4 linked regions of the Pelodiscus sinensis genome follow. The main gene of each other region encodes a partner of the protein of the gene in region 4 in a complex. Links are inferred from orthologs where the notes say so. Each region holds a gene or a part of one and is shown on either strand. Other genes may lie near its edges.

The links.
Region 1: TIMM21 (region 4) and TIMM17A share a complex: the UniProt entries of both Homo sapiens proteins name them as parts of the TIM23 complex. The link is inferred for Pelodiscus sinensis from reciprocal best matches to the Homo sapiens genes TIMM21 and TIMM17A.
Region 2: TIMM21 (region 4) and TIMM17B share a complex: the UniProt entries of both Homo sapiens proteins name them as parts of the TIM23 complex. The link is inferred for Pelodiscus sinensis from reciprocal best matches to the Homo sapiens genes TIMM21 and TIMM17B.
Region 3: TIMM21 (region 4) and SMIM20 share a complex: the UniProt entries of both Homo sapiens proteins name them as parts of the MITRAC (mitochondrial translation regulation assembly intermediate of cytochrome c oxidase complex) complex. The link is inferred for Pelodiscus sinensis from reciprocal best matches to the Homo sapiens genes TIMM21 and SMIM20.

What each region holds. Positions count from the first base shown.
Region 1 is NC_134737.1:16,752,856-16,760,250, forward strand, and holds the start of TIMM17A (mitochondrial import inner membrane translocase subunit Tim17-A), read right to left. Parts: upstream 3,003-7,395; 5' UTR 2,945-3,002; coding exon 2,847-2,944; intron 1,054-2,846; coding exon 954-1,053; intron 1-953. UniProt on the Homo sapiens protein: Essential component of the TIM23 complex, a complex that mediates the translocation of transit peptide-containing proteins across the mitochondrial inner membrane.
Region 2 is NW_027466031.1:273,205-280,275, forward strand, and holds the start of TIMM17B (mitochondrial import inner membrane translocase subunit Tim17-B), read right to left. Parts: upstream 3,007-7,071; 5' UTR 2,874-3,006; coding exon 2,848-2,873; intron 2,639-2,847; exon of another isoform or gene 2,394-2,638; intron 1,182-2,393; exon of another isoform or gene 1,130-1,181; coding exon 1,030-1,129; intron 912-1,029; coding exon 848-911; intron 762-847; coding exon 633-761; intron 1-632. UniProt on the Homo sapiens protein: Essential component of the TIM23 complex, a complex that mediates the translocation of transit peptide-containing proteins across the mitochondrial inner membrane.
Region 3 is NC_134715.1:101,593,666-101,601,247, forward strand, and holds the start of SMIM20 (small integral membrane protein 20), read right to left. Parts: upstream 3,009-7,582; 5' UTR 2,934-3,008; coding exon 2,825-2,933; intron 1-2,824. Other genes in the region: SEL1L3 (protein sel-1 homolog 3), read left to right, coding at 5,896-5,958.
Region 4 is NC_134712.1:95,701,267-95,708,336, reverse strand, and holds the start of TIMM21 (mitochondrial import inner membrane translocase subunit Tim21), read right to left. Parts: upstream 3,022-7,070; 5' UTR 2,731-3,021; coding exon 2,433-2,730; intron 1-2,432. UniProt on the Homo sapiens protein: Participates in the translocation of transit peptide-containing proteins across the mitochondrial inner membrane.

The sequences.
Region 1 (7,395 bases), on a different chromosome or scaffold from region 4:
AGAAATGCCCCTCTTAGCCGCATGCCTAAGCCCACATGGAATAGAAGATTTTGCAGTAAAAGTTCCTTAGATGCCTAAATTTCTATGTCAGGGTATGCAAACTACTACCTCACACTCTAAGCTCGAGTGCAAATCACAAACTAGGGGAACATAGGTGCTCCTCCGCCTAACTTGCATGCCTAACTCCTTACGAAATAGCTGGAAGGATTGAGGAGAACGGGCGCGAAGGGGAAGGAGGAGCTATCTCGTAACTTTGGGCCCAGTAGAGTACTCACCCAAGACAAGGAGGAAATCAAGGATACAACTCCCAACACTTGTTGAGAAGGAATATGAAGTGGGTTTTGCCCCCCTATTAGGTGAGTGTCCTAATCCAATGTTCCCAAATATGTGGGTCTTTTTGCAACCCTTCATTACATATATGCCTGGCATTGCAACCCTAATCCTGGCCCAGTGTGGAGAGGGGGCTTTGGGCCTGTCCCACCCTCACCCCTCAGCAAAAGCTCTGGTTCCACTAGGTTTGACCCTGCTTGTGACTTGGTGCCAGGGGTCACAGCACCACTTAATGTGGCTAATGAAGGATGGGGAGCTGAGCAAATTCTAAATGGCACTGCAACCCTAGGCAGGATACCCCAGCAGGAAGATGTCCCTTAAAAAGGTTTCCCTAGGGCTGCCACCGGTCATAGAAGCCATAGGGAGCATGCAGAAGGCAGCAAGGCTTCTATACAGATGGACCCATACTTTATGTGGATCATGGGAGATGGAGCAGGTTTATTCTCCTGGTCTGCAATCTCTCCTGCAGGGGATAAATACTGTCTCTCAATACGAAGACTGGGGACAAGTTATCATGAAGAGAACCTTATGGGTATTTCCTCTTCTTAGGTCACTCCTATATGTTTCACTATTGGAAGCAAAGCTACTATATTAGCTTATCTACAACAAATTATTTTACTCACCACTGGGGAATTTCTGAACCCTTTGATAGCTTGGAAGATGCCACCACCTATGACTCCCATTGTGAAGGCACCACCACAGTCATCCACTATCCGCCAGGGGCTAAAGAGGAAAAACAAACAGAAATATAAAGTGCTGAAATCAAGGATAAAGAATAAGAAAACTATCAGAACTTTCCAATTACTAGGGATGTAACAAGTGGTTTTAAAAGGTAACCACGTAACCGCTAAAAATCTTAGCGGTTACATGCACTGAAGACTCTTTATACTGCAGAGCTTGCAGCAAAACTTCCCTGGGAGCAGGGCGGGCAGGGGCAGGTGGCCCCACTTCTAGGGAGACTTTGTTGTGAGATCTGCAGGTAGCTCTGCAAGGTAGGGATCCATAGTGTGAACCTGTAGCAGAGAAGTCAGGCCCACTGCAAAGAGGGGCTGCTTTGACCAGCCAGAGAAACCCCTGCCTGCAGTGGGCCCAGTGGGGCTAGAGCAGCCCTCTGTCCAGAATGGGTGGGGAGCTGCTCCAGCCCCTACCGGCTTTCCTGTTAACCTTTTACACCCCTGTCGATTACACATTAACTTTATGTACCTACGCTCTCCCAAAATACTTACCAAGTTCTAAGGTTCTCTGCACAGTCACGCATTAAGTTATTATACATAATTTATGGTATTTGGGCTCAGTTACAATTTTTACTTCATTTGATTCTATGCTTTCTTATACATACAGTGCCACTCCCTACCAGCACAACCTGATAGTAATACCAGGGAACAAAATACAATGTCCCATTGACTGTCCTCATTCCATCAAGTTTCTGTGATGCCTATGATATCAATATCCTCATCTAATACAAAGCATCCATCTTATTATTTAGACTTCTAACAATTTTACATAATCACTTTAGGACACAGAGAAACTCCACTGATTGAGCATCATCCGAAGGGATGCCTCTGTCCTAATGTCAGAGAATGCTGCCACAGAGATACTAGACTTCAATCTCTTACCTAGTTGCCTAAATTCGGCCTTTACAACCTCTCTCCTATTTGTCCTTATGTCATTGGTATGTACCTGTACCACAATCAGGTCTTCCCCAGCACTACACAGAAGAGTAGAGAAGATCTGCAACCTTGGGGGGGAGGGATAGCTCAGTGGTTTGAGCCCTGGCCTGCTAAACCCAGGGTTGTGAGTTCAATCCTTGTGGAAGCAAAGGTTTGTCAGGGATGGTACTTGGTTCTGCTGTGAAGGCAGGGGCCTGGACTCAATGACCCTTCAAGGTCCCTTCCAGTTCTAGGAGACAGGCAATCTCCATTAATCTTATAAAACATTTTTTTTAATGTTAACCTTTGTGCCAGATAGGCAAGTCACCGTGCACTTCTGCTAGTCACTGCAAACTCAGCTAAAGACCAACTACTACGGGTCCCTCCCTAATGACTCGACCTCCCTCCCCCAGAGAGGTGCCCTCAGTGCAGAGGGATGCCTGAAGGCCAGGATTGGACCCTTCCCCATGGCTGCAGCTGGCTGTTCTTCCTGAAGCTGGCTCGCTGCTCGCTGGCCGGGGGGGGTTCTGCAGAACCCGGGACAGTGGCACCGATTTACCTCTCCGCGTGGCCGGGAGCAGCACTGCAGCGGAGACCGGCCAGAGCAGCCCCCGTACCGCGCCTGCTCCCGCCCCCGCTGCTCTACGAGCCCCACGGCGGCCGAGCCCGTTTCCTCCACTCGCGATTCGCGCGTGTGTGTTCCCGTCCGCGCTGCGTGTCACGGGTCCAGGGTTCGCGCCAGGCGGCCGGGTCACTGCGGGCCCCGCTCGAGGCTACCACGCGCCCAGGCAGGGAGCCAGCCCGGGCCCTCAGCGGGACTCCCCGGCTCGCGCCCCCCCCAACGGCCGCCGCGCGCCCCAGACTCACCAGGGCTCGCGCGCGTACTCCTCCATCTCGTGCACAACCGGCAAACTGAGCGCGTCACGTGACGGCAGGTCACGCTCCCGGACGCAAGGCCACCGCATTGGCTGCTGCCCGGCGCGCCGGCCAATGGCGTCCGGGCAGGGCGGGGCGCGCGGGACGCGCCCTTGACCCCAAGCCACCTGAACCCCTCCCCCATCCGCTCCGCGGCGGTTGGGCGTTACCCGCCGCGCCCCTCCCCCCGCTAGGGCCGGCCACGTGGCTCGCACGGGCGGGGCGGGGCGCGGGCTCCTGTCCTGCTGCAGCAGGGCCCCTCCCTGCGTTTCAAACGGGCGAGGGCGGCCCCCCCCCGGCCAGCGGGCTGCAAAGCGCCGGGGCGCTGGAGCCCCGCAGAGGCGAGTTTCTAGCACGAGCAAGGCAATCAGCTGCTCGGGGAAAGCAGCGTCGGGGATCGGCGCTCCCCGAATTAACTCAAAGTAAGGAATTGAAACACTAATTGCACTAATTGCACCGCTGCAAACGAGACGAATGGCTCGGTGCTGCCCGGTGTGGGAGCCATTGATCTCTGTTACAATACAGCTACAAAGTTACATCACGTGATCTGGACCCATGGCCAAGCAACACTGGAGATATTCCACAGAGACTTTCACAAGCTACAGCCCATCAACCTCAGCCTGGACCGTTCCACACGAGAGATCCACTTCCTGGACACCACAGTCAAATCACCAGTGGTAAATTAGATACCACCCTCTACAGAAAACCCACCGACTCATACAGTTACCTACATGCATCCAGCTCCCATCCAGAACACACCACACGATCCATCGTCTGTAGCCAAGCCCTTCAATACAACTGCATCTGCTCTAATCCCACAGACAGAGACCAGAAACTTCAGGATCTCTACCAAGCATTTATAAACCTCAACTACCCACCTGGGCTATGTCTAGACTGCAAGCCTCTTTCGAAAGAGAGCGTCTAGACTGCACGTTGAACTTTCGAAAAAGCGGCTTGCTTTTTCGAAAGAAAGCATCCAGTGAGTCTGGATGCTCTCTTTCGAAGAAGCCCTATTTACATTGAAGAACGCCTTCTTTCGAAAGAAGAACTTTCGAAAGAAGGTGTTCTTCCTCGTGAAATGAGGTTTACCGCCATCGAAAGAAAAGCCGCGTTCTTTCGATTTAATTTCGAAAGAACGCGGCTTGAGTCTGGACGCAGGGGAAGTTTTTTCGGAAAAAGGCTACTTTTCCCGAAAAAACCCCTGAGTCTGGACACAGCCCTGGAGAAATAAAAAAACAAATGGAAAGAGCCAGACAAATACCCAGAAACCATCTATTTCAAGACAGACGTAAGAAAACCAATAATAGAACACCACTTGTCATCACCTATAGCCCCTAACTTAAACCCGTCCAACACATTATCAATAAACTACAACCTATACAGTTCCAACAGGATACTACCCTCCGAGAGGCTCTGGGAGACAGACACATAATCTCCTATAGACCACCACCTAACCTCAGGGTGATTCCTACCAACAACAGGACATATCACACTAATATCTGCTTCCCAAGATCCATAAACCTGGACACCCCCGACGCCCCATCATCTCTGGTATTGGCACACTCACTACTGGTCTACCCAGCTATGTAGACTCTCTCCTCAAACCCTACGCAACCAACAACCCCAGCTATCTCCGAGACACTACTGACTTCCTAAGGAAACTACAAAACATCGATAACCTCCCCAATAACACCATCCTTGCCACCATGGATGTAGAAGCACTATACACCAACATCCCACATGAATACTGATTACAAGCAATTAGAAACTCTATCCCAGAGGACACCACTGCCAGCCTGATAGCAGACCTATGTAACTTTGTTCTCACCCACAATTATTTCAAGTTTGAGAACAACTTATACCTCCAGATCAGCGGGCACAGTCATGGGTACACGCATGGCCCCACAGTATGCTAATATCTTTATGGCTGACCTAGAACAACGTTTCCTCAACTCCCATCCCCTTTTACCTCTTCTCTACTTACGCTACATCGATGACATCTTTATGATCTGGACGCATGGCCAAGAAACACTGGAGACATTCCACAGAGATTTCAACAACCTACACCGCACCATTAACCTCAGCCTGGACCATTCTACACGAGAGATCCATTTCCTGGACACCACAGTACAAATCAACAATGGAAAATTAGACACCACCCTCTACAGAAAACCCACTGACTCATACAGTTACCTACATGCTTCCAGCTCCCATCCAGAACACACTATACGATCCATCATCTATAGCCAAGCCCTTCGATACAACCGCATCTGCTCTAATCCCACTGACAGAGACCAGAAACTTCAGGATCTCTACCAAGCATTTATAAACCTCAACTACCCACCCAGAGAAATAAAAAAGCAAATTGAAAGAGCCAGACGAATACCTAGAAACCATCTACTTCAAGACAGACCCAAGAAAACCAACAATAGAACACCACTTGTCATCACCTACAACCCCCAACTTAAACCTGTCCAACACATTATCAATAAACTACAGCCTATACTGGAACAGGATACCATACTCAAAGAGGCTCTGGGAGACAGACCCATAGTCTCCTATAGACAACCACCTAACCTCAAGATGATTCTTACCAACCACCACAGGACATACCACACTAATACCAACCCTGGTACCTTCCCTTGCAACAAACCCCGTTGCCAGCTTTGTCCACATATTCACTCTGCTGACACCATTATTGGGCCTAACCAAGTGAGTTATAAGATCAAGAACACATATTCCTGCGCATCCAGAAATATAATCTATGCTATCATGTGCTGAAAGTGTCCGTCTGCTATGTACATTGGACAAACATCTCAGACACTTCGCCAAAGGATTAATGCCCACAAAACAGATATCAGACAAGATCACAAAGAAAAAACAGTTTCTTGCCATTTTAACCAGAAAGGACACTCTCTCAATGATTTAACCACCTGCATTCTGCTACAAAGACCTTTTACATCTGCACTTGAAAGGGAATCCTCTGAACTGTCATTCATGTTAAAATTCGACACTTTCCAAAAAGGACTCAACAAACACTTGAACTATCTCACCCATTACCAAGATAGTTTCCCCAATTATCACCTCTAATACCATTAACTCACAAACATCCCACTCTCCCTACCTCTAATATCATCAATTCACAGACACTTACCTTCCTTCCTTCCCCCCCCTGCATCCCCCTCCTGTTCTGCAATGTGATTTGTCCTTTTCATATGTGTTCATTTTTTTTTTTATCCTTTGGTATATATGGTTGTGACTACTTTCTTCCACTATTTGATCTGAGGAAGTGGGTCTGGCCCACGAAAGCTCATCATCTAATAAACCATCTTGTTAGTCTTTAAAGTGCTACATTGTCCTGCATTTTGCTTCAGCTACCCCAGACTAACACGGATACATTTCTATCACTAGGACTATGCAGCACTTTAAAGACTTTCAAGATCGTTTATTAGGTGATGAGCTTTTGTGGGCCAGACCCACTTCCTCAGATCAAATTGTGGAAGAAAATTGGCACGACCATATATACCAAAGGGATACAATAAAAAAAAGGGAACACACATAAAATTGACAAATCAGATTTTTTTTTTGGATTGTATCCTTTGGTATATATGGTCATGTCAATTTTCTTCCACTATTTGATCTGAGGAAGTGGGTCTGGCCCACGAAAGCTCATCACCTAATAAACCATCTTGTTAGTCTTTAAAGCGTTGCATAGTCCTGTCTTTTGTTTCAGCAAGACCAGACTAACACGGCTACATCTCTATTACTATTCATTTAGAAGAGGATAGTTGCTGTATGTCAAACGTATTATTGTAATGAAAGCTGCCAGAAGGTGGTGCTGTGGGTTTTATTTAGATAGGACTTGGGGGGCGGGGAGGAGAGGGGAAAGGCTAGAATGCGAATAGGAAAGGATTAATGCCCACAAAACAGATATCAGACAAGATCACAAAGAGAAAACAGTTTCTTGCCATTTTAACCAGAAAGGACACTCTCTCAATGACTTAATCACCTGCATTCTGCTACAAAGACCTTTTACATCTGCACTTGAAAGGGAATCCTCTGAACTGTCATTCATGTTAAAATTCAACACTTTCCAAAAAGGACTTAACAAACATTTGAACTATCTCACCCATTACCAAGACAGTTTCCCCAATTATCACCTCTAATACCATTAACTCACAAACATCCCACTCTCCCTACCTCTAATATCATCAATTCACAGACACTTACCTTCCTTCCTCCCCCCCCTCCCCCTCCCAGCCCTGCATCCTCCTCCTGTTCTGCAATGTGATTTGTCCTTCTCATATTTGTTTATTTTTTTTAATTGTATCCTTTGGTATATATGGTTGTGACTACTTTCTTCCACTATTTGATCTGAGGAAGTGGGTCTGGCCCACGAAAGCTCATCATCTAATAAACCATCTTGTTAGTCTGTAAAGTGCTACATTGTCCTGCATTTTGCTTCAGCTACCCCAGACTAACACGGCTACATCTCTATCAC
Region 2 (7,071 bases), on a different chromosome or scaffold from region 4:
ACATTTCTCCTAGAACTTTGTATTAAGAGATCTTGTAAGATAAACTGTCTTTTGAGCTCTGCCCTTTCCTTGGTTGCCCTGTTGGAATGACTGAGGTGTGACTGGAGAATGAAAGGGGAGCACCTCCAGCAGCAGTCCCAAGAGTGGAGAAGGTCTGGGAGCCAGATCCAAGACAGTACCTGTAAAGGGAGCTCATTAAGAGGACTGGACATACAGACCCCTTGGGAGTCAAGCAGCAAGTGCCTGCCCTTGGAAGAACTCTCTCTGAAGCAGCATTAAGAAAGGTGAGGTGATGCCTAATTGGCTGCATGAAAGGGATAAATAGGAGGCATCTTGCAGAGGGACCCTGGGTTTTCCTCTTGTCAACATGGGAGCATCGATCCGGATCTGCAGAAGCCTGGCTCCACCCCTCCCCCATCTTACGCACCTGGCCAGTGCAGTGAAGGGGAGCAACTTTTGGGAACAACAAGACGGAGTGTGCGTGTGAGAGTGCATGAGAGTGATGTGTCCTATGCATCGGATAAGTATGGCTCCATCTATGGATGGTCAATAAATGTGGCATGTGGCCTTATCCCAGGTGCTTCTTTTAAGCACAACAGGGGCGGGGCAGGGGGCCCTCCCCTGGCACTCACTGCGGGAGGCGAGCACAGCTCCTGTGAGGGCCCCACTAGTGATCGAGTTCCAAGGGTCTTCCTTTCCCCGCATCTTCACCAGGCCACAGTCGATGGTGGAGAAGAGGCCGCCCCAGACTGCAAAGCTACCTGGGGACAGGAAGGAGCAGGGATGAGCTGCACCTCAGCTCCGTACCCCACCTGGCCATGCCTCCCCCCACACCGCGGCCCCTCACCTCCAATCTGGGGTGCTCTGATGCGGATGGCGCTGACGCTGCCTTTGAACCGGTGTCGAACGCCCTGGGGGAGGAGAGCAGAGGGGGAAGTGAGCTGAGATGCTGCCCCGCTCCCCCAGAAGTCGGGGGCTGGGGAGAGCTGTCAGGCAATGGAGGGGAGGCTGGGGCTAGGCAGGGCTCACCACTGGGGCATTCCGGAAGCCCTTGATGGCCTGGAAGACCCCCCCGCCGATCATCCCCATGGTGAAGGCACCGCCACAGTCGTCCACAATGCGCCATGGGCTGCCGGAGAAGGGGGGTTAGCCAGGTTGGGAGACCCTACAACAAACAAACCCTGCAGAAGACCCTACATCAGTGGGGGAGGGGAGAAAGAGGGCACCCCTCCCCCCCCAGTAACAGCTCCACAACAGCCAGATACCCTCGCGCAACCATCCCCTTCCGGGGCGCCCGGCCACCCCGCCATGAGCCCGAGGGGACACCAGCCCCACCACAGCACCAAGCCCACCTGCAGGAAAGCTATGCAAGCGTGTGGGGGGGGGGGGAGGGAAAGCAGGAATCTGGGGTGGACGAAGGGGGCTGCTGTAGGTAGATCTCTCTATTAATCATCAATCTCTGCACTAGCCATTTTCTCATTGAAGTTTTTAACTTTGTATCACGTCCGTTTAGCTTTGCACCGAGTCCCTTCACACAGAACCCCTGTGCCTGTCCATCGAGAGCCGGGCTCAGCGCATGGAGTCTTGGTAGAACAGGCCCTACGGAGCGGATGAGGTGGGACTGGATACGGGAAGACCAGCACCTCCGGAGAGGGGATGGGAGCCAGAGCCAAGAACCTGTGAAAGGGCCTGGGAAGCAGGCCCACTGAGAGAAGACTGGACCTGTGGATGCCTTGGGGGTCAGCAGCAGGGGCCTGCTTTTGGGAACCCCCTCTCTGGAGGTGCATGGGGCAGCGCTGAGACACCCCCCGAAGAGTCACCAATCGACGGCATCTTGCAGGGGCCCCACCTAACTCACCTGGCCAGTGCAGTCAGGGGGAACTATTGGTGACCAGGAGTCAGGGTGTGTGGGTGGGATCTAGCCGATGTCTAGGAGAAGGTGGGTTGCTAGACGTGTATCACCAAGACCTGGCCTTTGCCTCTTCCCCCGGAAAGGACAACTAAGCACAACACTTGCAGGGACGAGCAGATCCCGGGGGGGGGTCACGAGCAGATCCCGGGGGGGGGGTGTCACGAGCAGATCCCGGGGGGGGGTCACCCCACGGGAAGTGATTCCTCAGCCCAGACACTAGAATAAATCCATCACCGCCTCCCCCCCAGCCACCACCACGCACATCCGGCCCCTCCCTGCAAGAAGAGACCCTACAATAACCCCCCCAGCCAAGGGACCACCACATGGTACAACCCCCCTCTAATTCCTGCTATTTCCCAACACCCCCCCCCCCCCCACGGTCCGTGGTGACTTGGTGTCTCCCAGCTCCACGGGAAGGGGAGGGGGGACGACAAGTCCGTTTCTTTCATCCCACCCCCACCTTTCTCCATAATGGACTCACCCGCTCACAGATACCAAAACCCGGCAACTACCAAGTGACCAAGAATAGGGGTGTCAGTTTCTTCGAGCCCCCCACGGAGCAGGGCAAAGGACGGAAGGGGGCAGGTGAATCCATCCCAAGGGCGTGTGCTGAGCGTTCAGAGAATTGCCTCCCCCCATGCTCCTCCAATGGACTCGCCGGGCCTCAGGCCACACAAGGGGCTGGGCGCTACCAAGTGACCAACAGCGCCCGGGGAGGCTCGTTATGCAGACCGGCCAGGCACCAGACCGGCCAGGCACCAAATGGAGCGGCCCACGGGCCCCGGCCGTGGGGGGAGGGGCTTTCCCTCGCTGCCCCCCCCCTTCCTGCCCCAGTGGACTCGCCCGCCCATAGGCGCATTCAGGGCGGGGCAGACCAAGCTTCCCGGAAGGGGGGGGAGGAAAAAGAGACTGACCCTCCCCCCCCGGCCGCTCACCAGGGTTCCCGGGCATATTCCTCCATGACTCCCAACAGCGGCCGCGCCGGTCACGTGAGCATAAGGCTCCGCCCCTTGACCCGACTGTCCCGTGACAAGCAAGGGGCACCCCGCGCCCCCCTATTGGACAGCTGGAATCACGTGGTGTCTGCTCCCCTTCGCGTCACACACCGGGCCGGGGTGAGTCTCTGCTCTGATTGGCCAGAGAGAGGCACATGACATAAAAAAACCGTATTCCGGCCCTGCGGTCACCTGACAAGAAGGGGTCAGGGCCTCCCTATTGGCTCTTTTGCCAGCACGTGACATGAGAGACTCCGTCTTCCCGCTGACTGGTTGGCCTTTGGGGCGGGGCCGAGCGCTCTGTCACGTGACATGAGGGCACCGAGTGGCCTGCCGGAAAAGCAAAGCTGAGAGCCCCGCCTCCCTTCCTCCCATTGGTCGGATCTTGTCACGTGGGCGGGGACCCCCGAGGCGTCACGCGAGTGGCAGGGGCCTGGAGGAGCCGGACGAGCTGGTGCGGGGGGGGGGGCCCGAGCGGGAGGGCGGGGCGCGCAGGGGGCGGGGCCTAGGGCGGGGGGGGCAGGGGCGTGGCCGGGGGCGGGGCGCGCAGGGGCCAGGGGGCAGGGGGCGGGGCCGGGGCCGCTCTCCCCCTGACGGTCCCGCCCCGCAGGGTTCGCGATGCCGCTGCCGGTGGCGCTTCAGTCTCGCCTGGCAAGCGGGGCCTCCTCAAGCACGTGGAGCCCGGTGAGCGGGGGGGGCTCTCCCCTGGCCGGGGGGCTGGGCGCCATGGGGCGGGGGCTCTCCCCTGACCGGGGGTCCGGGCGCCGTGGGGCGGGGGGCTCTCCCTGGCCGGGGGGCTGGGCGCCATGGGGCGGGGGGCTCTCCTCTGGCCGGGGGCGCCAGGGGGCAGAGGGGGCAGTCGGGGGGCTCTCCCTGGCCGGGGCGCCAGGGGGCAGAGGGGGAGTCGGGGGCTCTCCCTGGCCGGGGCGCCAGGGGGCAGAGGGGGGAGTCGGGGGGCTCTCCCTGGCCGGGGGGCTGGGCGCCATGGGGCGGGGGGGCTCTCCCTGGCCGGGGCGCCAGGGGGCAGAGGGGGCAGTCGGGGGGCTCTCCCTGGCCGGGGCGCCAGGGGGCAGAGGGGGGAGTCGGGGGGCTCTCCCTGGCCGGGGCGCCAGGGGGCAGAGGGGGGAGTCGGGGGGCTCTCCCTGGCCGGGGGGCTGGGCGCCATGGGGCGGGGGGGCTCTCCCCTGGCTGGGGCGCCAGGGGGCAGAGGGGGCAGTCGGGGGGCTCTCCCTGGCCGGGGGGCTGGGCGCCATGGGGCGGGGGGCTCTCCCTGGCCGGGGGGCTGGGCGCCATGGGGCGGGGGGCTCTCCCTGGCCGGGGGGCTGGGCGCCATGGGGCGGGGGGCTCTCCTCTGGCCGGGGCGCCAGGGGGCAGAGGGGGGAGTCGGGGGGCTCTCCCTGGCTGGGGGTCCGGGCGCCGTGGGGCAGGGGCTCTCCTCTGCCGGGGCGCCAGGGGCAGAGGGGGAGTCGGGGGGCTCTCCCTGGCCGGGGGGCTGGGCGCCATGGGGCGGGGGGGCTCTCCCCTGGCCGGGGCGCAGGGGCAGAGGGGGAGCCGGGGGGCTCTCCCTGGCCGGGGGTCCGGGCGCCGTGGGGCAGGGGTCTGTGCCGGGGATTCTCTGACTCCCGCTGACCTCAGAGCCGGAGGAGGAGATCATCGCTGAAGATTATGACGACGACCACGTGGATTACGAGGCCACCAGAATGGAGAACTTGCCTCCCAACTGGTACAAAGTGTTTGACCCCATCTGGTAAGAGGGCGCCCCCCTGCCGCGTTGGGCGTGGCTGCCCCCTCCCCGGCCCTGCCCCAGACACGGCTGCATCTCAGCCCAAGCGTGGCGGGGAAGGGAATGAACTCTGTCTCCCCTGCCCTCCAGCGGCCTCCCCTATTACTGGAACATGGAGAACGACCTGGTGCTGGCTGTCTCCTAACGACCCCGGCTCCGTCATCACCAAAGCCGCTAAGAAGCTGAAGAACAGCCTGGGTAACGGCAAGGCAGTGGGGTCTAGTGCTTAGAGCTGGGCGGGCTCCTGCCCTTTCCGGGTGTGGGGGCTAGTGGCTCGGAGGGGGCAGGGGGGAGGGCGCAGACACCAGGCTGAGGCCAGGGCCTGTGTCTCCCCCAGACGCCGAGGAGAAGCCGGAGCGCCCCTACGAGAAGCCGGAGCGCGTGGAGGTGAAGGAGCGGCGTTACCACCGCCGGGAGGAGCTGGCGCCCTACCCCAAGAGCAAGAAAAGTGCGTGGGGAGGGGGCCGGGCCTGGGGCGCAGCTGGGGGGCAAAGTGGGTTGAGTGGGGAGGGGAAGGGGGGGAATTGGTACCTGGGGGGATGGGGAGCACTGAATACAGCCCCTGCCGTTCCCTCCCCAGGCAGCCGCAAGGACGAGGAGCTGGACCCCATGGACCCCAGCGCCTACTCGGACGCCCCTCGGTGAGGCTTGGAGGGTGCTGGGGAGGGGTGCGGGGCGGCGGGAATGGCGAAGGGGAGGGGTCTATTGCAGTGGGTGGGGTGTTGCGCTGACCTTGCCCCCTCCCCCGCAGGGGCACATGGTCGACGGGGCTCCCGAAGCGGAACGAGGCGAAGACGGGGGCGGACACGACGGCAGCCGGGCCCCTGTTCCAGCAGCGCCCGTACCCCAGCCCCGGCGCCGTGCTGCGCGCCAACGCCGAGGCCTCGCGCGCCAAGCAGCAGGACTGAGCCCCTCCCCCAATAAACCTGGAGACGGGCTGGGACTGACCGTGGTGTGTGGCCCCCAGCGGGACGGGCTGCTCTCCCCTAGCTCCATGGAAACGTGGGGTCCTCCCAGGCATGTGGCTGCAGCCCCCCTCCAGATCCAGGTGGCGTGGGGGGCGGGGTACTTACGGCTGCTGCGCCTTCTGAGGTGGATGGGGGGCATGAGGGAGAGCCGTCTGCCTCAGTTTCCCCCTCCGCAGCCTGAAACTCTTCTCCCCACCACCAGAAATTCTACTGAGGATGTTGCAAGATGTATTTCCTGGGGGCCATGGGCCGGAGTGGGGAGCAAAGCCAGGAGACCCCCCCCCCCCGGTTCTGACCCCATGCCCGTCCCATGCGGAGAACCCAGGAGTCCTCGCTCCCACCCCCCCCGGTTCTGACCCCCATGCCTGTCCCATGCGGAGAACCCAGGAGTCCTCGCTCCCCCTTCCCCCCGTGGTTCTGACCCCCATGCCTGTCCCATGCGGAGAACCCAGGAGTCCTTGCTCCCACCCCTCCCTGGTTCTGACCCCCATGCCTGTCCCATGCGGAGAACCCAGGAGTCCTCGCTCCCCCTTCCCCCGTGGTTCTGACCCCCATGCCTGTCCCATGCGGAGAACCCAGGAGTCCTTGCTCCCCCTTCCCCCCCGGTTCTGACCCCCATGCCTGTCCCATGCGGAGAACCCAGGAGTCCTTGCTCCCACCCCTCCCCGGTTCTGACCCCCATGCCTGTCCCATGCGGAGAACCCAGGAGTCCTTGCTCCCACCCCACCCTGGTTCTGACCCCCGTGCCCGTCCCATGTGGAGAACCCAGGAGTCCCTCGCTCCCCCTTCCCCCCTGGTTCTGACCCCCATGTCCGTCCCATACGGAGAACCCAGGAGTCCTCGCTCCCCCTTTCCCCCTGGTTCTGACCCCCATGTCCGTCCCATGCGGAGAACCCAGGAGTCCTTGCTCCCACCCCACCCTGGTTCTGACCCCCATGCCCGTCCCATGCGGAGAACCCAGGAGTCCTTGCTCCCCCTTCCCCCCTGGTTCTGACCCCCATGCCCGTCCCATGCGGAGAACCCAGGAGTCCTTGCTCCCCCTTCCCCCCTGGTTCTGACCCCCATGCCCGTCCCATGCAGAGAACCCAGGAGTCCTTGCTCCCTCTTCCCCCCTGGTTCTGACCCCCATGCCCGTCCCATGCAGAGAACCCAGGAGTCCTTGCTCCCTCTTCCCCCCTGGTTCTGACCCCCATGCCCGTCCCATGCGGAGAACCCAGGAGTCCTTGCTCCCCCTTCCCCCCTGGTTCTGACCCCCATGCCCATCCCATGCGGCGAACCCAGGAGTCCTCGCTCCCTCTTCCCCCCTGGTTCTGACCCCCATGCCCGTCCCATGCGGAGAACCCAGGAGTCCTTGCTCCCTCTTCCCCCCTGGTTCTGACCCCCATGCCCGTCCCATGCGGCGAACCCAGGAGT
Region 3 (7,582 bases), on a different chromosome or scaffold from region 4:
CTATATGATTAGCCAAATAATCGCATTTAACATCCTTATTCTGGACTAGAGAGGTTCAACCTGTACTAGCTTGTTTCTAGTAAGTTTGTTGCTCTCTGTGTCTATATATGTATATTCCAGACACCATGGGAGGCTCTCTAGCAAGCAAACTAGCAAGTGTTATAGATATGAAACCCACAATCACACTACAGTTTACAATATAAAAGATTTTTTTTTTAAATCACCATTCTACTGCTCAAGTAAAATGTCTTAAACAACAGTAATTCCAAGAGACCATACGTAGAATCATAGAAATGGAAAGGACCTTAAGATATCATCTAGTACAGTTCTCCTGCACTCATGGTAGGACTAAATATTATTTAGAATGGGGTGGAGAGCCTCAGGCCAGCCCGCAGCTTGCTCCCCCACTATCTCACCACAGGACTGGAGCACATAAAATCTAATAGCCTGGGCCCTTCTGGGTCTTAGGCTCTGATTTGCAAGAGGAATGTGGGGAGTGCCTTTTCCCCTTCTCAGTCAGGGATCAGGTGAGTGAGGGGTTTTTTTTTGTTTTGTTTTTGCCCCCAACTGATTATTCTGTGGATCAGCAGCCCCCTAAACCCAAAAGTTTCCCCACCCAAATCTAGACCATTAGGTGTTTGTCCAACCTGCTCTTAAAAATCTCCAATAATGGATATTCCACAACTCCCTAGGCAATTGGTTTCAGTGGTTAACTACCCTAACAGGAAGTTTTTCGTAACGTCCAACATACACCTTCCTTGATGCAATTTAAGCCCATTGCTTTTTGTCCTTCTCTCAGAGATTAAGCAGAACTATTTTTCTCCCCCTCTCTCTGTAACAACTTATGTTGTTGAAAACGCTTATAATGCTCTCTCACGTCTTTTCTTTTACAGACAAAATAAACCCAATTTTTTCCAATCTTTGCTCATAGGTCATGTTTTCTAGACCTTTAATCATTTTTGTTTGCTCTTCTCTGAACTTTCTCCAATTTTCCACATCTCTCCTCAAATGTGGTGCTCAGAACTGAGCACTTGAAACCTAAGCAGCACAGAGTAGAGTGGAAGAATTACTTCTCACGTCTTGTTGAAAACATTCTTATTAATACATCTCAGAAATATATATATTTATTTTTATTGCAACAAACAGTGTCACACTGTTGATTTATACATATCTTGTGGTCCACTATGACCCCCAGATACCTTTCTACACTACTCCTTCCTAGGTAATCATTTTCCATTTTGTATGTGCGCAACTGATTCTTCCTTCCTAAGTAGAGAACTTTGTATTTGTCCTTATTGAATTTCATCCTATTTATTTCAGACCATTTCTTCAATTTGTCCAGATAATTTTGAATTTTAATCCTATTTCTCAAAGTCCTCCCAACTTGGTATCATCTGCAAATTTTACAAGTGTACTCACTATGCCATTATCTATACAATGGATAAAGGTAATGTACAGAACCAGTCTTACACCTGATTCCTGTGGGATCCTACTCGTTATGGCCTTCCAACATCACTCCACCAATAACTATTCTCTGGGAATGGTTTTCCAGCCAGTTTTTCACCCACCTTACATAGTAACTCCATATAAGCTGTATGTCTCTAGTTTTTTTATGAGAAGGCCATGAGAGACAATATCAAAAGCTTTATTGAAGTCACATCAACCACTTCAGTATGCAGCATGGAGAGAATTATTTGGGGGTGATGATGCTAGGATTAGTGATACAAGTAGGGATGTTAAAGTGTACCCAGTTAGCCATTTAATTGATAAATGGATTCTTATTGGTGTCAGTTGCGCTCAGTTCTCCAGGGAGGCAGCTTTGCTGTGAAAAGGCAGCAAAGTCTCCTCTCCAGAAGCCAGGCCGGCAAGGGCTACCCACTCTGATCCTGGGGAGAAAGATTCGGTGCCACAGCAAAGCCCCCACACCTCCCCAGGAGCCAGACCTGGGGAGGCTTTGCTGTGGGCCCTCCAGTATAAAGCTAAGCTTTACATTGCAGAGTCCACAGCAGGTGTAACCATGTAACCACTGAGATTTTCAGAAGTTACGCAGCTATCTTATTACACGATTTTCAACATCCCTAGTGCTAAAACCAGATCTATATTACACTTGGAAGGCTGGCTTAATTACAACTACATAAATACAATTACAGCAACATAAATAATGGAGCTGGAGTCGATGTACCTTAAGCCGAGCTATCTCCATAGCAGGAAGTCAACGGGAGCAAATGCTCCCGTCAACTTCCCTTACTCCTCGTGAATCAAGGAGTAGCAGTGGTGACCGGACAGTGCCCTCATAATTTAATTGAGCAGGTCTTTAGTAGTCCCTCTAAACCAAACACCAGAAGATGAATCTCTGGCCCATAAGTATAGTCAGATGAAGAACAGGGTTGCACCCATTAAAGCTCACAATACCATCTACATGTTTCGTTCGTCTTTAAAATGCTATCAGACTATTCGTTGTTTTTAAGGATGTAAAATCCCGTTTAAAAGGTACCTGGTTAACCGGCGCGGGCAGGAGGCTGGTTTACTGGTTACCCCTTTGTACCCAAGTAATGACTAGGCGAGTCAGGGAGGAATCACTGAGCAAACGAAGCGCTGTCTGCAGGGCAGGGAGCAGCACAGAGAGGGGGCGTGAGGGCGAGGCCCAGGGATTACACAGGGAGGGGAGCTCGGTGGCGGATACACCACGGGGAGGCTGCTCCCTGGGGCCCGTGGCACGGCCGGGAGGGCGGGGACAGGGAGCTGGGCGCCTGGAGCGAGGGTGAGGGGCGCTGCGCGGAGAGCGGCGCGGGGCTCACGCCAGGCTCGGCGGGGCCGTACTCACTATATTGGTCCACCTGCCGCAGCGGCCGGAAGTAGATGGGGTAAAACGCCGCCCCCACTACGGCCACGAACCCGCCGAAGATGAGCAGCGTGCGGGAGTGTCGCCCCATAGCTAGGCAAGGCGAGGGGCAGACCTCCACCCTCTGACCTCTCACCTTCGACTGCAGTTTACCCGCTTCCGCTTCCGGGGCAAGTGCAGGCGCCACTGAGAAGCTAAGCCCCGCCCCTTCCCGAAGTCTCCCGCTTCCTCGCTGTGGCAGCCCCGCCCCCCACTTCTGCAGGCGCCTCGGGGCGCGTCCCCCGCTGCGTCCTAGAGGCGGGCTGCGAGCTCCGGGGGGCGGGGCTCGTCACCTCGCTTCAGTGCGGCCTGTGCCGGGATGGGGGCTCCTTGGCGGGGCTATGGCAGCAGCGGGGGCCTCACGCGTCTCCAAGGCCGCGACGTGCGCCGGGCTTTGCACTCCAGTGGTAGCGATGGGGCTGGTGCAGAAGCCCCGTCGGATGCACAGACAGACAGACAGACAGGAACTGGGGGGGAGAGGGGTGCAGTCAGCTGAGCGCAATAGAACAGCTGTTCAACACCATTTGACAGCCCGTGACGTGAATGATAATATACCCCATGGAAACCACTCATACATTCTGACTCCAATCTTTTCGTAGTTCCACCATCACCGTGCCTGTGCCTTCAGACACAGTAGAACAAGCAAACTAAGTTCGTGAGCTTTGTATTACATTTTTATCTCTCCAAAGATGCCAAAGTGGCTTTTTTGCAGATAACCAGCCCGATACTGCTTGTCCCGGAATCCAGTTCCTTGGGTACTTTGAATGTAACCTGTGCAAAGAAAGAAATTACTTGTAAGAGCACTATCAATCATTTTCTGCCAGGAAGATTTATTTGAGAAAAGGTTATGTTCTGCTTTTTTATATGTATAACAAATATCAATTAAGGTTGTCAGTCTTTGCTGGTTTTGCTGGAGGTCTTCTTGGACATACCAGATAAGGATAAGAGATTTCTTAGTTTTTAACAGAAGGCAAGATAATGTTCAATATTTTACAGCTTTTTCTGCCCTGCGTGATAAGGTGTTAGAGTTGTATATATTTCAAAAACTGAATAATAAAAGTCATTGTCCCTTTAATCAACTTTCACTTGAATGGTGACTCATAAATCTACAATTTTAGGATAAGCACATTGGACACAATCTGAATCTTTAATGTAAAAAGTAGGTTTTCCAATGCTCTTAGAAGGAAAAATAAACCCAAAACTTTTCAGGCTTTTATTTTGCATCATAAAAATGGAAAATAATGGTATACACTAAATTTTCAGTTTTGGATATTAAAAAGGACTAGTATTTGTAGTATGAGAAGACGGCATATTTGTCAACCTAAAGGCTGTGTCCTTTCCAGACAGATACAAGTGTTTTCAATGACAGAACTTGTACATAGTACAATACTTCAGATGTTGGGAAGTAGTATTTGCCAAATCCTGTTGGTAATGAAGCTGGTGGGAATTTGATGGGGAGCAGAATAAGGGTCATATCCTGTAAGGCTAAAATTCAACAGAGAGTAAAGGAACCTCGTGTAGCCCTACATACCACCTGCATTAAGGGCTCCACATATCTGTAAGAGATCTGTCAAAGCATATTGATTAGGACCAAGGCCTTAGTCCCGGGAGGGCAGGAAGCCTACAAGTCTTTCTATGGGTGTACATAAATGACAGATAATATTGAACTTCATCATCTAATGCAGCTCTTAATTACAATGTTTCAGGAACATATATTAAACAATAATTTTATCTCTATTATTAAATTGGCACAGTCATGCCATATGTTTAAGTTTGAAAGTATAAGTAAATAGTACAATTTATGTGAGTTGTTCATGGTAGCTACTATGCCTTCCTATGTGTGTGGACAGTTCCTAACTTCCTATAGGCTCTAGCATAATGCAGATAATATAATAGTAATAACATGTACCAAGGATTTCAGACCATGCAATGTCTTTTTATTGTAATTTCTATAATTCTGAGGTTATTATTAATAACTAATACAATTACAAGGTGCACTTTTCTAGAGATGTGACAAATGTTCTCAGAGCTCTTTACTGGCATTCCTATTTGACTGATGGCTTCCTGAGGAAGTCATCATGGGAAGTCTATTAAGGCAAAAAAATCCAGGAAACCTAAAGACAGGCATAAGATTATGGGAACTGTTAGATGGATCAAGCTCCCAGGTTCAGCTAATCCAGTATCTGACAGAGGCCGGGGTGTGTATCTACATCGGGACCAAAGGCTTCAGAACGAAATGCAAGAACTCCCACGGCAACAGCTTTGAAATAATCTGTTTCACGTAGGTCCCATCGTGGGCTCTAACAGCAATTGGTTAAACTTTAAATCCTGAAGCATGAGAATTAATAGCTCTTCTGTAATGTTACACACTAGCAGGGCTACCCCTCTGAGATTTCTGTGATGTGTTAGCACAAATCATTGTAACTCTTGGTCCATGTAAATGCATGAGCCCTTCTATCAGAGGCTCAGAGCACCTGCAAACTAAGGTATTTTTAATTCTCTCCCTTTCTCCCACTCCCCCATCCCGAGAGCGGCAGTTGGAGGAGAAACAATACACACAATTCACACTATACACAGGCCAGCGTGTCAGGCAGTGCTGGGCAGTCCCAGCAGCATCCACAGACTCAGATAAATAGCTCTAGGGGCGAGCAAAACGAGCGGGTTGTCCCCCTCCACACCGTTACACCCAGGGGAAGGTCAACGAGACTGAGGGAGGGAACAAAGGAGGAGCAGGTGCGCCTGGCGTCCCCAGCTCGGCTCGTCCTTTCGTGCTGCACCTGCCCAGCGAGACTCCAGCCCCGCCCGGGCGGAGCCTCCTCCCCCCGCAGCGGCTGAGCTCCAGGAAGCAGGATCTGCCTAGTCCCCGTGGCCGGATTCCCCCGGCGGCCGCGCGCTCTGGCTGCCCTGAGCCGGCACCGACCTGCAGCAGCAAGTGCCGCTCTGGGCCTCGACCCGCCGCGTGCCGGCCCCGCGTCGCCCATGGGAGCAGCCGGCGCCTGAGCCCCATCGGAACCATGTGGCGCCCAGCGGAGCCCCGGCCAGTGCCCCGTGGGGGCCTCCTTCTGCTCTGGCTGCTGGTGAGCCCGCCTCCCCCACTCCCCGCACACCTGCTGCCGCGCCGCTGCGGGGCTGGCCGGGACCTACTGCCGGGGGCTCTGGGCTGGGCTGGGCTGCCAGCCCCTTTGCCCCGCAGCAGGCACTTCTGTCGCTGCCAGCCCCGGAAGCTGGGCAGGAGCCCGCTGTGCTCTCCGGTATCCTCTCTCCCTCCCTTCGCATCACACCCCTCGCACTCCCAGTACTCCCCCAGCTTCTATCACACTTCTCTCCATGCACCCCCTAGCACAGTCCCTAGTCACCCTCTACACCACCCCAGCACACTCCAATGACCCCCCAGCAATGCTCACCCCCTACACCACCCCAGCGCACTCCAATGCTCCCCCAGCAAGCCCCCATATACTCCTCCATCCACTCCAGCACACCCACAGTTACAGCTCTCCAGCTGTCCCAGTATACTCCTCCACCTACCTCAACACACTCCCAATACCCTGTCCCAATACACACGCTATCCAACACAACACATTCCCTATGCACTCTTCCTTTCCTATACACCTCTCCTTCCACCCCACATTGCTAATACAGCCACATCCTTCTGCACTTCTCCATCCACCCCAGCATACATCCAATATGCATACCTCTGTCCACCTCAATACACTCTTAGTATACTCCACCAAACCAGTTCATACTTCCTTCTGTGAACTCCGACACAGTTCCAGTACATTTATCTTTCCATCCACCCCCAACCCATTACCAATGCTCTCCTGCACCCCAGTACACCCCTCTATCCACTCCAACATACTCCCAGTACAATCCCAAACATATCTCCAGTAAATTTGCCACACCCATATCCCTAATGAATGCCCTTTCTCCAATGCACAAAAATCCTGGTTCTACTCTGACATCTCTTCATTATTCTGCCCCACTACCACACACCTCTTGCTCCTTTATAATCCTTCTCTTTCTTCCCTTTTTTTCTGCTGCCCCAAAATACACATCTGTTCCCTTAAGAGCCTTTTCCCCTGTGCCTACCCAACTGCACCCTCTCCTGTCAACACACCACCCTCCTGCCAACCCTCATCAAAACATACTCTGATTTCTATTCCCAGGGATGATGATGATGACTTCCCCTGCCACCTCTTCCAATTTTTTCTAATACTGATTTAAAAAAAAACCAGAATATTTTAGTTTTCAACTGACAGTATTTTAAACAAAGTATTAGCTTATTTACAGAATTAAATGTATATATCTAGAATCTAGAAAATTATATTTTTATCATTTGCACAGTAATTTATACACTTACTTGTCACTTTTTCACAGATCTATATTTCAGCCATCAAGCATAAAAAAGTTACAAATCTAGATCGCATATTAAAAGCACTTAAGGACCATTCTTGTCCAGGGTCCTGGACTCCTACTCATGATCAATCATTATTAAAAAGAAGAATCCAATTATTTTCCATAGGGCTATATTCACTTCAATCCTAGGAATAGAGGGTTGGGAGGGACCTCTAGAATTCATCATGTCCAGTCCCCTGCACAAAAGCAGAATCAAGTAAAATCAGACTATCCATGACAGGTGCGTGTTCAACCTGTTCATAAAAAACCTCCAGAAATGGGGATTCTTCAGCTTCCCTTAGAAGACCA
Region 4 (7,070 bases):
AATAGTATTTTCCTCAGGGTGGAAATCTTTCGTTCTATATTCTCCCTTCCATGGAAAAATACCTGGATCAAAATGCCATCCCAATTATCAGCTGGTGTGGTCACATATCTAACTAGTCAAAACACCTTTGGACTTACAGGACAAACAAAGCTATTTATAAATCGTTAAGTTGATCACCAAGTTGTTAAGGGTTCCGGGCATCCAGTGATGTCTCTCATTAGCATATTTAAAACTATAAACAATCTTATAAAAGAATGATTCATACACCAAAACAGGATATATAGATCCAGTTAATTGTTACATTCAAAACGGATAGGTTACATGAGAAATTTTGTCTATAGCGTCTCCAAATTATGCATATTTATATTTGTAAGATGATTTTCATTAAATAGTGAAGGGGGGGGGGGGAACAACCACACTTGTTGGCCTCAACATTAGGTCAGAGAAATAGAATTATATGGTTCAGCACGTTCCTATTAGATTGAAAATTAATCAAATAATTATGAAAGACGAAGATGGTTCTTGGAGAGTAATACAGCTGAGATGGCTGAAAAGTGGGATCTCCACTATGGACTATACCAAAGCCTCTTACATTGCTTCTTCCTTCCCTTTTGAAACAATTTGGGTTGTCTCCCCTTCTATTGGTGATCAAATGGCAACATTGGTCATTGGTGGCAACTACCCTGATTACATACATGGAAAAACACTACCAGAAAAACATTCACTATTTTTTGTAACTGTATTAGCTACAAAGGAGGTGCCAGTACCATGTGATCAGCCATCTCTCTGCAGGCAACTAGCAAATGGACCAATGTCTGGAAATCACTTTCTTAATTCACTAAACTAAGCCAGTTTTAATCTTCAGGAAATGACATGGATGTAGAATTTATATCAGGGACATGAAAATGTGTTTATTCAGGTAAATATGTAAGCAGTGAAAAAAATCAGTAATTACATGTTTACAGGTTGAGGAAAGGGGGCAGAGGCAAGCGGGAGCTAGCACTTGCAGAGCCAGCTAACTCCCCCTGAGCACCGGGTCCCACCTGCTTTCCCCCCTGCTGCCTCTTACACAGAGGCAACAGTGAGGGGATGGGGGAATAGGAGGCTCTGCGGGAGCTGGTATGCACGAACACCAGCTCCTGCCTCACCTGCCCTCCGCTATAGCCGCTGATACAGAGGCAACAGTGGGAGAGGGGTGGCCTGCATGTAATTGTGAAGATTAACTGATGAGCCCAGGCTCAACCGTTAACCAGGTATATGTTTACACTTTCACATCCCTAATGTACAGGGTTTAAATCACCTCTACATTCCTTTCTGGTTTTTTCATATTAATCAATGGATGCTGTGCAATCTAAGATCACTGTGGCCAAGTGGAAGAAATCCTTAGAGGTGAGTTGCAATCTCCACATTAAAGAGGGACTGATGAAACTGATATCAAATATTAATCTAATACATAGATTTGGAAATTATTAGGTACAAAGCCACTCTTCCTCACCTAAAGACTGCTTTTTTGTTACAATGGTAATAAGAAAATGTGATGTGTGTTTGGAGGAAGAAAATTATTTTAGAAGAGTTAACATTTGAATTTGTATCAGCCTTTAACCCAAATATTGCTGATTAGGTTTATTTTTTTTTCCTATTTTTTCTCCAAGGCTGGAGTGGTGCTAAAAGCTGACTGCAGGCAGGCAGAAGGCAAGAGAATAGGAATGTAGTGTTAAACTTCTGCATGCAAGGGGATCCAACCATAACTGGGGAGACAGATGGAGAGCACTGTGTGTTACTTATGTGGACCCTACAAAACATATTAGGCCTGTTCCAATTAGCCTACCTATAAGAAGCCTGCCACTTACCTATTGGCTACATCTAGAGTTTTCCGTTAAAAGCATTTGCGGAAAAGAGCGTCTAGATTGGCATGGACGCTTTTCCGCAAAAGCACTTTTTGCGGAAAAGCGTCCATGCCAATCTAGACGCGGTTTTGCAAAAGAAAGCCCCAATCGCCATTTTTGCCATCGGGGCTTTTTTGCACAAAACAGTTTTTAGTTGTCTACACGGGCCCTCTTGCGCAACTACATTTGTGCAAGAGGGCTTTTTCCCGAACAGGAGCAGCATAGTATTTGCGGAAGAACACTGACAATATTACATTAGATTGTCAGTGTTCTTCCGCAAATTCAAGCGGCCAGTGTAGACAGCTGCTTTTGCGGAAAAACTTGCCAGTCTAGACACAGCCTGTGAGTGTGTAATACACACATACCAGTTAAAAGTCAACTCTGTATAAAGTTATGCTAAAAAATGCAATGTATAAACCAGGGGATGAGTTGCAGCTGTGGGAATCAGTTTTATATTCCTCAGTTGTAGGGCTGTAGATGGTCACTGCTATTTAAAACCAATGCAAGTTGCTAATTAATATTGGCCATAGCTTCACTTTCACTTACCTTTCTGAGCAGCCGACACGGGTGCGCCTCCTTTGTGACTTCTTTGCACAGACACTTGTTTGCTGTTATTCCCAGCTCTGAGGGATCCTTCCTGGGTCCAGATATTTTGTTTTGCACCTTGGAAAAGCATACGAGGACGCAACACAGATTCTATGTGGGAAAATTCCTGCCCCCACATAAAACACCGCCAAGTCCTTAGAAACACTTTCCCATGGAGGGCAAGCAACCACTTTCCTGTCGAGCCTTGTAACTTCTCGCTGCATTTAATAACTCGTGTAAACGAAGGAGAAAACATCATGAGGCAAAACAAGTCTTAGTATGTTACCAACAAACAAAGATCTATGTAGATTAGTTGAACTAAACCCTCCCTTGATTATTGCAGGAAAGATCTTAACTTAATGTAATCTGCACCTAAGCAACGCATACATAGTGTGTGCAATGAAGGTGCTGTCCCTTTAGTGAAACAGAATTGGAGCAATCTCTCAATTTGAATTTGCTTTTACCTTGTTGATTTACTTTAATCGAGAAACCTACATTACCCTGTGCTCGCTGACATTTTCAACTTCCTCCATCACGTTTGCAAAGTTCCCTGGAAAAAAAATGCCATGAGGTCCTGGGAATTGTAGTTCACAGAAATTCGCCTCCCATCTATATTTAATAGTAGCTGAAAGGAAAAATGACTACAACTACCACAATGCAAAGCGCCAGCTCCTGCCTGTGAGATTAAATTGCACCGACACAAACCTACAGTAATTTCAATCTCCTGGTTCTAGAACAGATACCACGTAACAAAAGTAGTAAGGGAGGCTGGATGCTTTTGACTTCCTTTAACTCTCAGCGCTTGTGAATGAAAAAGAGCATATGTTTTGGAGTGTTTTCTTCTCTTTTCGTTTTTTGAAGGTTTCCAATTGTCATTTTAGGAAAACATTATGACCTTGCAATAATGCGAACTGCCTATTGTTTTGCAAATATAGTGGTAAAAGAAGCATTTCTTCCTTTTTCAAGGTGAATAAATCCTGCAAAGATTTAGGGACACCTTTAGTCCCATGGTCTTTGCAGGATGAGGTTCTAAAATGGTCGTTTTTCATCATGGAAACGGATGGATGTAAAATCTATTTTAACAGGGCCTGATTCAGCAACTGAGTGAACATAAAAGTAACTCTGCCCCCCTGGTCAAATTCTATGTATTTATTATGTTTTCCTCCCAATAATTCCTTTGTGGTCAGCATGTGCATACAGCTCCTATATAATCATATAAATATTTATTAATTAAACTCAGCTAGTAAATAATTCCATGAAGCCACTACCCAAAAACACCTGTAAAGATTTTACTCAAACTTTCTAGGACAATTCACACTTAAAAGAAATATGTTTGAGGAAGTTGTGAGCACTGAAAAGGCAGAAGCTATAATTACAGTTGGAATTCAATCATAAGAGACTCTACTGCTTTTAGCATGGAAGCTACAATAATGATAATAAGAATAACAGAATTGTACTTTATGACATCTTTAAGAATCTGTGATAGCCCACTATAGACAGAGTAGCAGACATTTATGTCCTAACCCAGCGGTTCCAAATCTTTTTTATACTGAGGACCAGCAAACTCATCCAAAAACTGCTGGAGGACTGGCAATGGAATATTTGCATATTCATGTTGTCATTAATGTGTTTGCATATTTCCATATTTATTATGGTAATATTAAGGGGTCACATTATTTTACATTGCATTTTTTACATTGTCTTTTGTTTTGAGATGAGAGGCTAAAAGGGCCATGCTTCCAATTTATGGGCAGCCTGCTGCCCCTCAGCTCTGCATGTGCTTTCTGCAGGGGCTCAGTGCTTCTCAGGGCTTCCCTCACGCCCTGCCCTGTGCAGCTCCTTCTAGAACCAGGGCAGCCACTGTACATGCGGCATTTGGAAGTCGCTTTCCTGCACAGCGCTTGTCTCCTCTCCCCTCCCCTCCCCTCCCCTCCCCCGGCTGGGGCAGCCGCTATCCCTTGGCCCTGCTGGCCAGGCCACGTAGTGGTTGCTGGACCTGGAACTGAGGCCATGGTGAGGCTGCCCCAATAGGATGGCTCCAGCCTCAGCACACCCAGCTACCAGCTGCCCCACTCACCCTGTTGTGAGGTGCCTTACAGAAGGGAATTCTCTTGGAAACCAAGGGGCGGAGTAAATAAAAGCTGGGGTGTGGCCTGGCAACGTGCAGAAGCCCGGCAGACGAGGGTTCGTGGCCCGCTGCTGGGCTGGGGACTAGTGTTTGGGAACTGTTGTCTTAACAAGATAATGGTCCATTGTTTGTAAATTCTTTGTAATATTAGATGCAGTTTAATATTTTCTTTAGGCTCTATCAACATAAAACTTTCACTGGCATTTAAATTCAGTGCTTAATAACTAATACATACCATCTCGAGTGCTTTACATTTACAAAGCACTTTAGAGACTTGCTTAAGCCTGGATGTTAATGACCCATGTAGGTAGAATAGTATCTTTTTCATGTCTCAGAGGGATAGCCCTGTTAGTGGGTTTTGCCCACAAGAGCTCATGATACTATATATATTTTTGTTAGCCTCTAAGGTGCCATAGGGACTACTCGTTTTGACTCTAGGGCTGTGTCTACACTGGGCCACTTATTCCGGAAAATCAGCCGCTTTTCCAGAATAAGCTGCGAGCTGTCTACACTGGCCCTTGAATTTCCGGAAAAGCAATGATGCTCTACTGTACAAAATCAGCCACTATTCCGGAAAAACTATTCTGCTCCCGCTTGGGCATAAGTCCTTTTTCCGGAACACTGTTCCGGAAAAGGGCCAGTGTAGACAGCCCAGTAGTCTTTTCCGGAAAAAAGCCCCGATCGCAAAAATGGCAATCGGGGCTCTTTTCCGGAAAAGCGCGTCTACATTGGCCACAGATGCTTTTCCGGAAAAAGGGCTTTTCCGGAAAAGCAGCCTGCCAATGTAGACGCTCCTTTTCCGGAAAAACTGAAAACGGAATAGTATTCCGTTTTAAGCATTTCTGGAAATTCATGCCAGTGTAGACACAGCCTAGGTGTCTACACTGGCGCGATCTTGCACCAAAGCAGCTGCTCTTGCACAAAAACTTGCTGCCTGTCTACACTGGCCGTGTGTTCTTGCGCAAGTAAACTGACGTTCTACTGTATGAAATCAGGGCTTCTTGCTCAAGGACTATGATGCTCCCACTCAGGAATAAGCCCTTTTGCACAACTGTTCTTGCGCAAGAGGCCAGTGTAGACAGGCAACAGCCCTATGGTTAAAATGGTCATCAGAGCTTTCTTGTGCAAGAGAGCATCTACACTGGCATGGATGCTCTTGCGCAAAAGCACATCTCTTGCGCAAAAGCACATGCCAGTGTAGACGCTCTCTTCTGGAAGACTTTTTGCACAAGAACTCTTCTGCAAAAGAGTTATTGCGCAAGAAGCTGCCAGTGTAGACGTAGCCCTATTGTTGGAAATATCTAGAGCCCTGCAAATATAAGGATATCTGCTTTGTATCTGCATTTATCTGCATCCACACCTGCTGTTATCTGCAGACCATTTTTTGCAGATTGCAGATGGATGCAGATCCAAATTTTATATCTCAAGCCCTGTGAATCTGCAAATATATGCTTATAACCATGGATCATTTTTGCAGTTGCAGATCTGATGTGGATACAAATTTAGTATTTGCACCTGGTTCTACAGATAGCTACTCCCTCCCAGGGAGGTGCAGTACCTATGCTGATTGGAGAATCTCTCGGGGGCTGTGTCTACACTGGCATGAATTTCCGGAACTGCTTAAAACGGAATACTATTCCGTTTTCAGTTTTTCCGGAAAAGGAGCATCTACATTGACAGGCTGCTTTTCCGGAAAAGCCCTTTTTCTGGAAAAGCGTCTGTGGCCAATGTAGACACGCTTTTCCGGAAAAGAGCCCCGATCGCCATTTTCGCGATTGGGGCTTTTTTCCGGAAAAGACTACTGGGCTGTCTATACTGGCCCTTTTCCGGAACAGTGTTCCGGAATATGGACTTATGCCCGAACAGGAGCAGAATAGTTTTTCCGGAATAGCGGCAGATTTTGTACAGTAGAGCGTCGTTGCTTTTCCGGAAATTCAAGGGCCAGTGTAGACAGCTCGCAGCTTATTCTGGAAAAGCGGCTGATTTTCCGGAATAAGTGGCCCAGTGTAGACACAGCCCCTGGAGTGGTGCAGCAGCACTGGGGCAGTGCTGTAAGTGTAGACAAGGCCAGTCTGAGTTAACAGTTGCTTGAGAAAGGATTAGCAACAAGAGTGAGACTAGTAAGGTGAGGCGGCATCATGGGCAGTTGGTGAAGGTAGGGCTGGGGAGACAAGCTCCGAGCCCCACTCCAACCCCGCCCCTTCTTCTGAGCCCCCACCCCTCATGAGAAGATGGGGCAGCACACTGTGGGGGCACCCCCACATGTGCGCACCACAGCCCTTCTCACCCCAGATCATGGGGAGGGGAGAGGGTGTGTGGCTCCAGCATCCCTGGCACTGGAGCACGGAGCGAGAGGAGAGTGTGCGGCTCCAGCTTCCCCGGCCCTGGAGCATGGGGAGGGCAGGTGGTGCATGGCTCCAATGTCCTGGGCCTGGAGCACTGGGGAGGGAAGAGGGCATGTGACTTCAGCC